Arabidopsis thaliana: one gene and its partner. The protein of the gene in region 1 interacts with the protein of each later gene in a pairwise test. Each region holds a gene or a part of one and is shown on either strand. Other genes may lie near its edges.

Region 1 (3,482 bases):
TTTACTAACTAAAGCTTTTTGGAAATTCAATATACATTATAACATATATACATGTTCCATAGCATATACAGCTACACCACGCGCATACATAGGCACAGATATGTACCTTCCTCTGTATCAGTGTATTACAGATATATATGAGCCAGCTGTTTGTATATATATAATATATACATTGTTTTATAACCCGTAGGGACATATCTTGGTCAGGTGTTGGAATCAGACTCGGACCATTATACTTCGACGATAGAACTCTCTAAAGCTTATTTTAGGGTTTAGTTCAAACCCCACCTTTCATCTCCCTATCGGCTTTGTTTCACCGTAAGAGGTAAAAAAAAAACGAAATTTGAAAATATAAAAATATGAAATGAAGATATATTTATAACAAAGCACAACATTAATATTGTGCAAAGAGAGACATACACACAGATATTTATAAATGGCAAAGACCAGATAAAGCTGAAAAGATAGCATCACGCTCGTATTCTTTCTATTTTTTATTTTGATATCAATTTATATATTTTGTTGTACTAATTAATATAGGCCAGAGGGCTCTCGTTTCCTGCCATCTAACCCTACCCGTCCGATCGATCAAAATCTCTTTTTTTTTTTTCTTTTTCTCTCTAAAATGTTTTTTTTTACAAGAAGAAAATCATCTTTTTATTGATAATCATAAAACGAAAGATTTTTAAAGTTTTGTATAATGTTAGCCTTGTATATACATATTTAAACTTTGAAGAATAAAAAAAAAAGCCAAAAACAGAAAAGAGCTAGATCAATATACAAAGGAATAAGGAATGTTCAAAGTTTCAAGTTTCAGGCGTTGAATACGAACTTCAGAAATGTTCAAAATACCCTTATTGAAAAGCATGTACATACGCTACTCGAAAGGGTTAATATCGGAGAATCGGTTGAACAGATCAAACATTGTATGACAAGTGTTACGTAAGTCTTCTGTCAGGAAAACTAGATTTTTAAAAAAAAAATCAAAAATCAAAGGTAAAGCGATCCGACAACCACAATCCGACAAGATTATTTATCTTTTACGATTTCTCATGCAAAGATTTTTTTCCAGAAAAGAAATACATGAGTTTAAACACTAAAAGAAGTAACTTTCTTTTTCAGCTAGAGGGAGCATAACTGTACGGACTTCTCTTACTATATTCAATATACATATAAAATCTTCTCTTCCATCAATCCTTCGTTTTAAATCTCATTTTAAGATTTAATTTATTGTGGAGCTCAAACCTGAGACACACAAAAAAGGCATTTCGTGTATAAAGGACACAAGCGTGGAAGCCAAAAGCATGTCACAAACTACAAACTTTGTAAACTTTGAAGAAAAAAAAAAAAGGCTTTTTCTATATAAAATTGTTCAAATTTTAATATTGTTATAATTAAACCCATCCAAATTAATTCATGGGTGCTGTTCTTATAAAATATGTACACATCATAATTCTCGAGTCATAATTCTTTTTCTATATATATAAGGAGGATGCTATTAATCTGGATAAGAAACATAAGATTCTGACTCCTTAACAAATTATGATGTGATGATTACACATTTGCTGGATTGATGATTACTCGGTCGTATGGAATTATATATTTTACAGAGTAGAATGGAATAAAAGAAAAACCCTGCCAAAATCCATATTGTACAGATTGAGGGAGCTTATCTACGTGGAAATTATGGTTTCTTACTTTATGATCATGTATCTGAAAATACAAAGAAAGAAAAAGAGAGAATTAAGTGGTAAGAAAATTAATGGTGAGAGCGGTAAGAGCCGACAAGAAGGACAGACGGAGCCGTCTATTACCAACAACTCCCTTCTGATAAAAGCCTGTTCTTCAACTCTCCTTGCCTTTTTTTTTTTTTTTACAAAAAAATGAAATTATTCCGATAACTATTATCGGTGTTTGTTTTCAACAGCAATCACTATCTTGATGTCATCGGTTTTAATTCATATGTTTTGTTACTTTTTTTCTTTTTTTCATGGAGAAGTAAATAGAGGTCATGTTATTATACACAAATAATAAAGAAAGAAACAATAATACTAATAATTAGAGGAAAACAGAGTTAGACTCAGAGGTGTAGTAGGCCTCTATAAATACTCTGCATGGCTCTCACTCTCTTCTCACCAACAAACTTTAGCCAATCCCTCTTTCTCTCTTATTCGTGTTTAATCTAGTTTCTTTCCAAACAAAAGTGTAACAAGAGAAAGAGAAGAGATATCAAAGATGCAATACCAGACAGAATCGTGGGGATCATACAAGATGAGCAGCTTAGGATTCGGCGGTTTGGGGATGGTGGCTGACACTGGTCTGCTTCGTATAGAGTCCCTGGCTTCTGAGAGCGCGGTGGTGATCTTCAGCGTGAGCACGTGCTGCATGTGCCACGCCGTGAAGGGTCTCTTCAGAGGAATGGGCGTCAGCCCCGCCGTCCACGAGCTCGACCTCCACCCCTACGGCGGCGACATCCAGCGAGCCCTCATTCGTCTCCTCGGCTGCTCCGGCTCCTCTTCTCCAGGGTCTCTCCCGGTCGTCTTCATCGGCGGTAAACTGGTTGGAGCTATGGACAGAGTCATGGCTTCTCACATAAACGGCTCTCTCGTTCCTCTTCTCAAAGACGCCGGCGCTCTCTGGCTCTGATCCCTTCCTCTGCTTTCTTTTTTCTTTTCTATTTGAAGTTTTCTTGTAAGAGAATGTGGTGGAGGAAGATTAGGAAACTAGTCAATGGCTGTAATGACAGGTTTTAGATTATAGTTTGTAATTAGAGAGAGAGTTGTTTTAAGCTCACCTTTCTCTGTCTTCCTCTTCTTCATCTCTTATTGATCTTTCGAATGCTCTCATTAAATCATAATAGTAAACACTTTGCATCTTTATTAATGTCCCCTGGATCCATTAATCAACGGTATTAACTGACGCCGTATCTATTCAAAGGCAGTTCCTGTTATTTTGTTCACACAAATTTACACACAAGGGACTTGTTGAGAGGGGATCGCTACGATCAGCTTAAATGATGCCCTACTCTGTCTAACCTATACAAAGCACACACACACTCTATGACTATGAGTGAGATAGGTGAAGCTTGAAGCTACTTGGGTTTGAAGATGTTACTTAGCAAATACCCCATTGTAGTTGTTTCGTGCGAAGGCCTGCTTGTACCAAGAACAGAGCAATGCTCCTTCTCCTTCTTCTTCACCTTCAGCTTGCTTACTCCTATCTGTTGTCTGATTGACTCCACGATTTTTGATTCAACCGGGTTTCCAGTCACGTCTGTAACGTAGAACGTGTCTTTAGCCTTACCCTCTCGCGTTGATATCTCTGCTCTCACAATGGTTAAGCTGTTCTCTCGGAATGTTCTGGTTATGTCTGAGAGAAGACCAACTCGGTCTTCTGCTGATAATTCCAGCTCTAAACCCTGAAAGTATGTTTCATATGCACAATCTGTCTTGAGTATATCAGAAATCGATGCAGAACAGAAT
Region 2 (8,158 bases), on another chromosome or scaffold:
ATCTTAAATGTTTAAACTTTATATGATCCTTTTAAAAAACATATAGATGAAAATCAACCAAGTTTACAAGTAAACCTGCAATCCAAGCTCTCGGCAAGCATCCTCGTATTTTGTTGCTGAGAGTGCAACGCTCCTTTTGATATCAGCTTCTTTACGATCAAGTTCTGTCATTTGTTGCTGAACCTTTTGCACTTGCTTTTTCAGATAAGGGCTTCATGTTTTGCAAAAAGAAAACATATTAGGGAGATCAGAAATGCCAAAGTAGAGAGACTATAGGTAAAATCAAGTAGAAGCCAACTTACATTTCGTAATTAACATTCTGAATTATTATCTGAGCTGCCTCCCCAAGATAAATGTGATCTTTTTCAAACGCACGAACAATTGCTTCCCAAACACCCTAAAAGAGCATTATACAGCTGAGACAATGAACACAAACAAAAGTGCGAAACAGAGAGACAGTTTTCCTTACAGAAGCACCCGAAAGTCGACCAAAGATGTTGCGGCTTTCCGGAGTTGTCTTCAGGAGAATCTCATACACCTTTTTGACCTCCAAGTAACCGATCACTGGAAGCAAAACAACATTAAACTTGAATGAGAATACAACCAAGTAAGGCCCTCCTCCTAATCAATCATCAGACATAACCAAACAACAAACAAGCTTACGGTGTTCACAAAGATGCCAATAAAATCTCTTTGGCATTTTCAAACAAAATACTAACACTTTAAGTTATAAATGAGAGCAGTGAACCAAAACGCAATTTAAGACGAATTCGTTTTGAAGGTTTGAAAATTCGCCAAACTGATAAAAGAACAAAATTTGAAGAATTTAAAACCTTCAGGATCTAGGGTTTGAAAGAATGGATCGATCTCTTTAGGCAAAGAAGAGAACTCTTTTAAGATTTTGACTCTGATCACAGCAACCCTCTTCCTCCAATCCGCCGGAATTCTCTTCCGATCCACCAACCATTCTTCAAATTCAACAAAATTGAAATCAAATGAAGACAATAATCACCAACGCAGATTCGAATCCAACGAAGAAAACGAAAAAAAAAAACCAAAGAGATATAAAAATTTAAAATTCCGTGTACTCGTAATTGATAGTTCTGCATTACCTCCGAGACGAGAGAAGGTGATATCGATTGGAAGATTTTGAACATCATCTTGTGACGGCATTTTCTTCCGGTTAACCTTTCACGCTTTCTGGGAAATTTTATCTCCGAAGTCTCACACAGTTTAACGTTTTGGAGTCTCAAGAGTTTGCTACAGAAGAACGCATAATTTCATTGGTCTCATCAAATATCTCGAATCCGGTTATTGAACTAACCGAACCAATTTACTCCGGTCCGCGGCAGATTAAATTGTTTATTGGTTTTATATGGGTTGGTTGGATGGTCCATTACCGCGGTTAACATAAACTGGTCTATCTAGTAACGTCGGTTTTACCTTTACGGATTAGTCTACAGATTTTAAACTTTTTTTTCTTTACAAGTTAAAACTATTTTGAGGAAATTATTTGTATGAATATTTTGTGAATGATGGGAAAGAAATCAAAATTAGTTTACCAGCTCAATTTGATCAAACCAATTAGCTTAACAAAAACAAAACCTAGACCATATTAGTGCCCATTCAAACAAAGTACAATGGAACAGTTAGAGATACAAACAAAATTCAATCAATATATTTGACAATCTAAGTTCATAAATCACATAATAATGACTTTTAACTTGTTTCATATAATGTCTAGTGTTTATAGATTGAATGTAAGAGCGGTTAATGGATCATTAAAAATCGAATAAAAAATCTTATAATAATAATATAGATGATGGAATTGAAAAGTATATCTTAAAGTAAAAATCTAATAGCTGAATAATATATATAGGAGAAATATAATAATAATAATTTAGAGAACAAACAAAAAATATTTATACAAGTTTGTTATCAGCAATGTGACTAGAGAGAAGGAAGAAGAAGAGAGAGGGGATGGAAAAGGACATGTTCTTGACCGCTTTATCAGAATATTTTTCTTGGTTTCATACAAAAATAAAAACAAAGTCGTCTTCTAATATTTTAAGGTAGAAGAAACTTATACAACAAAAATATCAGAAAATAAAAAGGAGTTTGTCTTTAGGTTCTTCTCTCCAATCTCTATTTTTCTCTCCAATATCCTTCTTAAGTTTTTGAACCCTCTCCACTTCAATATAACCGACCTCTCTTCTCTCTTCTGAAAAAAACACCAAAGGAGCTTTAAATGCTCCGTTACATAATCTCTATCTCTTTCCAAGAATATAGAGAAAGGAAAATAATATACAAGAATTAAAAGAAGGTATATCATCATCTCTCTAGCTAGTGATCAAAGCACCGTCATCATCATCATATATCATCAGCTTGCCTCAGAGGAGAAGACCAACATAAGAGAGATCGAAGATCAAAATCTATCTCTCTTCATCATCTTCTGCTGTTACTATCATATCACACGCTCTCTCAAACATCATCCTATATATAGACTTCTCTTCATCATCATCAAATGCAAGGTCATCACCAGAATCATCATCAACACTTATCATCATCCTCCGCCACGTCTTCCCATGGAAACTTCATGTAATTTTTACTCACTTAATAACTTTTTGAATTGATTGATGATCCCCATGTTTTTAATAAGAGAGCTTTAATTTATGTGTGCAGGAACAAAGATGGGTATGATATTGGAGAGATAGACCCATCACTCTTCCTCTATCTTGATGGACAAGGACATCATGATCCTCCATCAACTGCTCCTTCTCCTTTACATCATCATCACACAACTCGTATGCACTCTCTCTCTCTCTCTTTTCTTTCTTTTTTGGGAATTGGGGTTTGTTTTTTTGGTTTCAGCAGATAAGGAAGATTCCCTTTAGGTGTGTGAGAGAGAGAGAGAGTCACAGCAAAAGCATGCCAAACAGATTTCAATCTTTCTTCTGCCATCAGTACTCTATTCTTTCAGCTTTGACCAGATCCTCTCTCTTTTCAGACACCAAATCTTTCAAATCCATATATCTTACACTTCTTTAAACCCTTTTCTCTCTCTGTCCTTTTTCTTCTAATTAGAAGAACTAGTCCGCTCACATATTTATATACATGACTTGTTATAACTAGACCATTTCTCATACATATGGTCACATGACTCATCTTATGGCAGAGAATTTGGCGATGAGACCTCCAACATCGACGCTCAACATCTTTCCATCTCAGCCTATGCACATAGAGCCACCTCCTTCTTCTACACACAATGTAATAATTATTACTATTACTTTATAAATTTCTATATATATATGCCAATTTTAGTTGGTTTCTGTTTCTAATTTAATATAATGTCAGCGCAACTACTAGCCATTTCATATAATATCAAGTCAGACCAATTATTATACGTTTCTTATTTTTCTATTGAGTAGTGATTTGATTGTTTTTTGGTTGTTTTATATAATGTGTTTGGTAAGACCGATAATACAAGATTAGTTCCGGCTGCTCAACCTAGTGGTTCCACTCGACCAGCTTCTGACCCGTCCATGGACTTGACCAATCATTCTCAGTTTCATCAACCTCCTCAAGGTTCTAAATCCATCAAGGTCTCTATCCATTTATGTTTTTTTAATCATTTAATTGCTTTGTCGAACTATAACTCGAGTATAGATATAGACTTGTTGTGGTTGTTTTTAGAAGTTAATGGGTCATATCTAAATGTTATGGCAGAAGGAAGGGAACCGCAAGGGTCTTGCCTCATCGGACCATGACATACCTAAATCGTCAGACCCTAAAGTGAGTGTATATTCATACAACTGCAGAAAATTAATAAGATTCTTTTTTTTTTTTTTTTTTTTACTTTTCGGTTTTTGATAGTTTCTTTATTAATTTAATTCTCAACAGACATTGAGAAGACTAGCACAAAACAGAGAAGCAGCAAGAAAAAGCAGATTACGTAAAAAGGTCAGCATTCAATATTTGTAAGTTGCAAATATAGTTTTTATATCCAAATTTATTTATAACGTTATTTGCTTTGGTAAATTACGACAGGCTTATGTTCAGCAACTCGAGTCATGTAGGATCAAACTGACCCAACTAGAACAAGAGATTCAACGGGCCAGATCCCAAGTAAATATTTGAACCTGTCTTTTCATATATATTGTATTTAACCTAAAGTCTAAAATGTACCAATTTAATTTGATTTCCTATATATGTTTAGGGCGTATTCTTTGGAGGGTCTCTTATAGGAGGAGATCAACAGCAAGGTGGACTACCCATTGGCCCTGGCAACATCAGCTCTGGTACGTTAATAGTTTCATAAATGTGATGACTCAAAAACCGTAAAATTTGAAAACCGAGAGAATGAGATATTGAGTAAATGCAATGTGAAGCAGAAGCAGCGGTGTTCGATATGGAATATGCGAGGTGGCTGGAGGAGCAGCAGAGGCTATTAAACGAACTAAGGGTGGCAACACAAGAACACTTGTCCGAGAACGAGCTTAGGATGTTTGTGGACACATGTTTAGCTCATTATGACCATTTGATTAACCTCAAGGCTATGGTCGCTAAGACCGATGTCTTCCACCTCATTTCTGGAGCATGGAAAACTCCAGCTGAACGTTGCTTCTTGTGGATGGGTGGTTTCCGTCCATCGGAGATCATTAAGGTACATCTCGTCTTTTCTTATAGCCATATACATATATTTAGGTTTTTCGAGAGATATTTACTTATTCTATTCGAGCCACATCCCACACAATAATTAGTCATGATGATATTGTAAACTAATCAAATATGGATTAATAAATCTAAATTTTGGAATTTTACTTGAAGACTAATCATTTTAAATTTTATCTTAGAACCTAAAATATTCCAGGATACAATCATTAATACCATCAATTTTGTGGATTACTTGCAGAACATATACTAATAATGACTGAAATTGTGACATTGTTATTATTTATATCGTACATATATGTCCACAGAATATAGTACTTCCAACTTTATTTTATTATTTAGATTTTTTTTTTTAATTTAGTCTTTGATTCTCGTAAAAGAGGTACGATATAGTAATAATAGATAAGACAGACAAGAGATAGACTATATAGTGATATTGTTGGACGAGGTATATATATACATAACATTGCATGGGGTGACTCTAGATGTATAAAACCAACATATATACGTGAATGTCTTTATATTACGACAATAATAAAGGTACACGTAAAATTATTTTGAAAACAAATTAAGAATGCATGCAATTGTGTGTGATGGTGAAGTATCTCTAGAAATAGGTAGGTTTTGGCATAATGCAAAAGAAAGTGCCTGTCTGTTTTTTCGATTTATGGGATCCATAGGAGAGAGAGATAGACATAAACCACCATGGAATTCAACAGAGACGACCATAATAAACAAACCAAAAATAAATAATTGTTTAACATTTTTAGCACGCTCGTCAATTGGATGATTATCATTTTTTTTCTTTTCTAAAATGGTTACGTAAAGCCATTTTAATTAAACCTACTTTTTATTCTAAACAATATGAGTACCTACGATAGCCGATTAATAATACAAATTAATATATGGATGGTGTGCATATCTGACAAGACCTTTGGCAATGTCTCAATCTTATATCCTTTTTAGTGAAAATAAAAAGGAAAGAAGAGATTTTGGGTGTAGCTAGTAACTCGTGCAGAGTACATACACTACACACTTTAATGCATTCAACGTTCTTTATGCATCCATTAAGACCATTGTTAATTAATCCTCGATATCTCAACTTGTGTGTATTAATTAGAAACGCATGCATGCAGGTGATTGTGAACCAGATAGAACCATTGACGGAGCAACAGATAGTTGGGATATGTGGGCTGCAACAGTCCACACAAGAGGCCGAGGAGGCTCTCTCGCAAGGCCTCGAGGCGTTGAATCAATCACTTTCCGATAGCATTGTCTCTGACTCCCTCCCGCCTGCCTCCGCACCACTTCCTCCTCATCTATCCAATTTCATGTCACACATGTCCTTAGCTCTCAACAAGCTCTCTGCTCTCGAGGGCTTCGTTCTCCAGGTACCCTTATAACTCTTTCTTTTTAAGTTTATGTGCAATTATATATCAATATACCAATCTTTTATCTTTATATAAAAATATACCTATAGAGTTGATATACAAGTGGACCCCTAGAGGATATATGTGGTCCTAATCAGACTAGGAATACATATTCTGTTTCTTTGAACTACTCCTTATTAAACTCAACTATCATATACTTATATATTTCTATATTTGGCTGTTATAACACGCTATCTAAATTTATATAGATGTTTGTATATATGTGTGTGTCTGTTTTGTGTACAACTCATATATAGGTATAACGTCGGCCATAATTTGTTAGAGGACATTTGTAATATATTAAGTGTATATAGAATAAAAGTGGTTGATTTTAAAGAAGATGTCAAAACTAATTCGCAAACTTAATAATTATGCATTAACATGTATATGTATATGAAATGGAAAGTATTTGCCTCTTGATTCGGACATTATGCAAGTAGGTATCTAACAAACACTTCTCTTGTCTTATATCAACTTGGTCGGGTTGCTTTTCTTAGACGACCAAGTTTATTAATTTAATATTTATTTCTTAATCATTTACTAGTTTAGGACAGGCAAGTTTTTGAAACAAAGAAATATATATATCTGCTTGTGTATATTAATGTATAAGTCTATACTCTATATGCAAATGGACATTTCGGCTAATTAATTCTATACAAGATACATGCATATACAAGTTGGCATCTTTCAATGATTTCTTAATATAATTAGTTCTAAATTGTTCCTGTTCCGCCTATAAAAAAAGTTTTTGTGTTTCGCTACACGGTTAGTCGCTCACAATTTGGAGAAAGATCCAACTTTAAAATAGGTGGTAAATGTGGGGTTAGTTACTAAAAAGGGGTAATGAATTCAATTTTCTCTAAACGCACGTGACAATTGGCACCATGAAAGTATGTATTAAGTATACATATTCCAATATATGTAGTCCAAAAGAAAAATACATATATTATGTATCTATAATATATCACATCAAATAAAAACATGGAATGCTTGGAGCCCATATCGTTGCATGATGTCATGGACGTAACTGCCCAAGTATCCCATCCTCCGAAAACACTTCCTTGAGAATAATTCCTTTACTTACATTTGATTCTGCATTTTTTTGTCTACTTTTATATCATTGATAATAGGTTGATTATATATGTATGATTCTAATTAATGATCAAAAGTATCATGAAGCATGGCGTGGGACCGAGGGTATGGAATTCACGGTTTCACCTTTTTGACATGTTGGTGTCGTGTTCTTATTAGTGAATTACTAACAAGCTTTGATTTTTTGATCGATCAACATGTTGAATAATCGGCATTAGTCGTCAATCAACCACATAATTTCGGGTCATGCACAATCATTATAATGCTTAATTAGTCCTTTATCTGTTTTTTTCCTCTCTAGTTAGTCTTTAATACTTATATTTATGAGATTAATGATGGTCCAATTCGATTATTTGTCCTTAATTGGTCTTAGTCAATAACATGTGCACTACTTTGTCCATCTTTTGTTTTGCTTTTACTATTTCTCCATTTTCCCTATAACTCTTATTTAGTTTTGAACTAGCTAATACATTAGAAACTTACAGGCGGATAATTTGAGGCACCAAACGATCCATAGGCTGAACCAATTGTTGACGACCCGTCAAGAAGCACGGTGTCTTCTAGCCGTTGCGGAGTACTTCCACCGTCTTCAAGCTCTAAGTTCTCTCTGGCTAGCCCGTCCTCGGCAAGATGGATAATACTAAAACAACTGATGAAGGAAACCAAAAACAAAAACAAGAGAATAGGTTGATTAGTTAGCCGCCAGCTTGACCTCTTTATCATATATATCGTCTCTCTACTCAAATACAGTGCAATTAGGGAAAATTGTTTGGCTTCTTTTTGTTATATGATTCTTACTATTATGTTTTTAATCAAGATGCAGATTATATATATAGACAAGTATTCCATACCTTTTAATGAATTCTTCCTTATGCAAATTCAAGTGAAAAATTATACTTGATCTTCAATTCCAAACACAAGAACATGAGAGAGTATTGAAAGGAAACAAAAATAGAAGGCTGGCA

The links.
Region 2: the proteins of ROXY1 (region 1) and TGA10 interact in a two-hybrid assay, tested with the Arabidopsis thaliana proteins (one study listed by BioGRID).

The regions. Positions count from the first base shown.
Region 1 is NC_003074.8:331,676-335,157, reverse strand, and holds ROXY1 (Thioredoxin superfamily protein), read left to right. Parts: upstream 1-2,085; 5' UTR 2,086-2,235; coding exon 2,236-2,646; 3' UTR 2,647-2,883; downstream 2,884-3,482. Other genes in the region: ACR6 (ACT domain repeat 6), read right to left, coding at 3,092-3,418. UniProt on the Arabidopsis thaliana protein: Has a glutathione-disulfide oxidoreductase activity in the presence of NADPH and glutathione reductase. Reduces low molecular weight disulfides and proteins.
Region 2 is NC_003076.8:2,118,387-2,126,544, forward strand, and holds TGA10 (bZIP transcription factor family protein), read left to right. Parts: upstream 1-2,085; 5' UTR 2,086-2,524; coding exon 2,525-2,598; intron 2,599-2,682; coding exon 2,683-2,804; intron 2,805-3,175; coding exon 3,176-3,267; intron 3,268-3,473; coding exon 3,474-3,602; intron 3,603-3,726; coding exon 3,727-3,792; intron 3,793-3,900; coding exon 3,901-3,960; intron 3,961-4,047; coding exon 4,048-4,125; intron 4,126-4,216; coding exon 4,217-4,298; intron 4,299-4,388; coding exon of another isoform or gene 4,389-4,391; coding exon 4,392-4,663; intron 4,664-5,807; coding exon 5,808-6,062; intron 6,063-7,678; coding exon 7,679-7,831; 3' UTR 7,832-8,071; downstream 8,072-8,158. Other genes in the region: AT5G06830 (uncharacterized protein), read right to left, coding at 76-211, 303-397, 470-564, 834-968, 1,113-1,173. UniProt on the Arabidopsis thaliana protein: Together with TGA9, basic leucine-zipper transcription factor required for anther development, probably via the activation of SPL expression in anthers and via the regulation of genes with functions in early and middle tapetal development.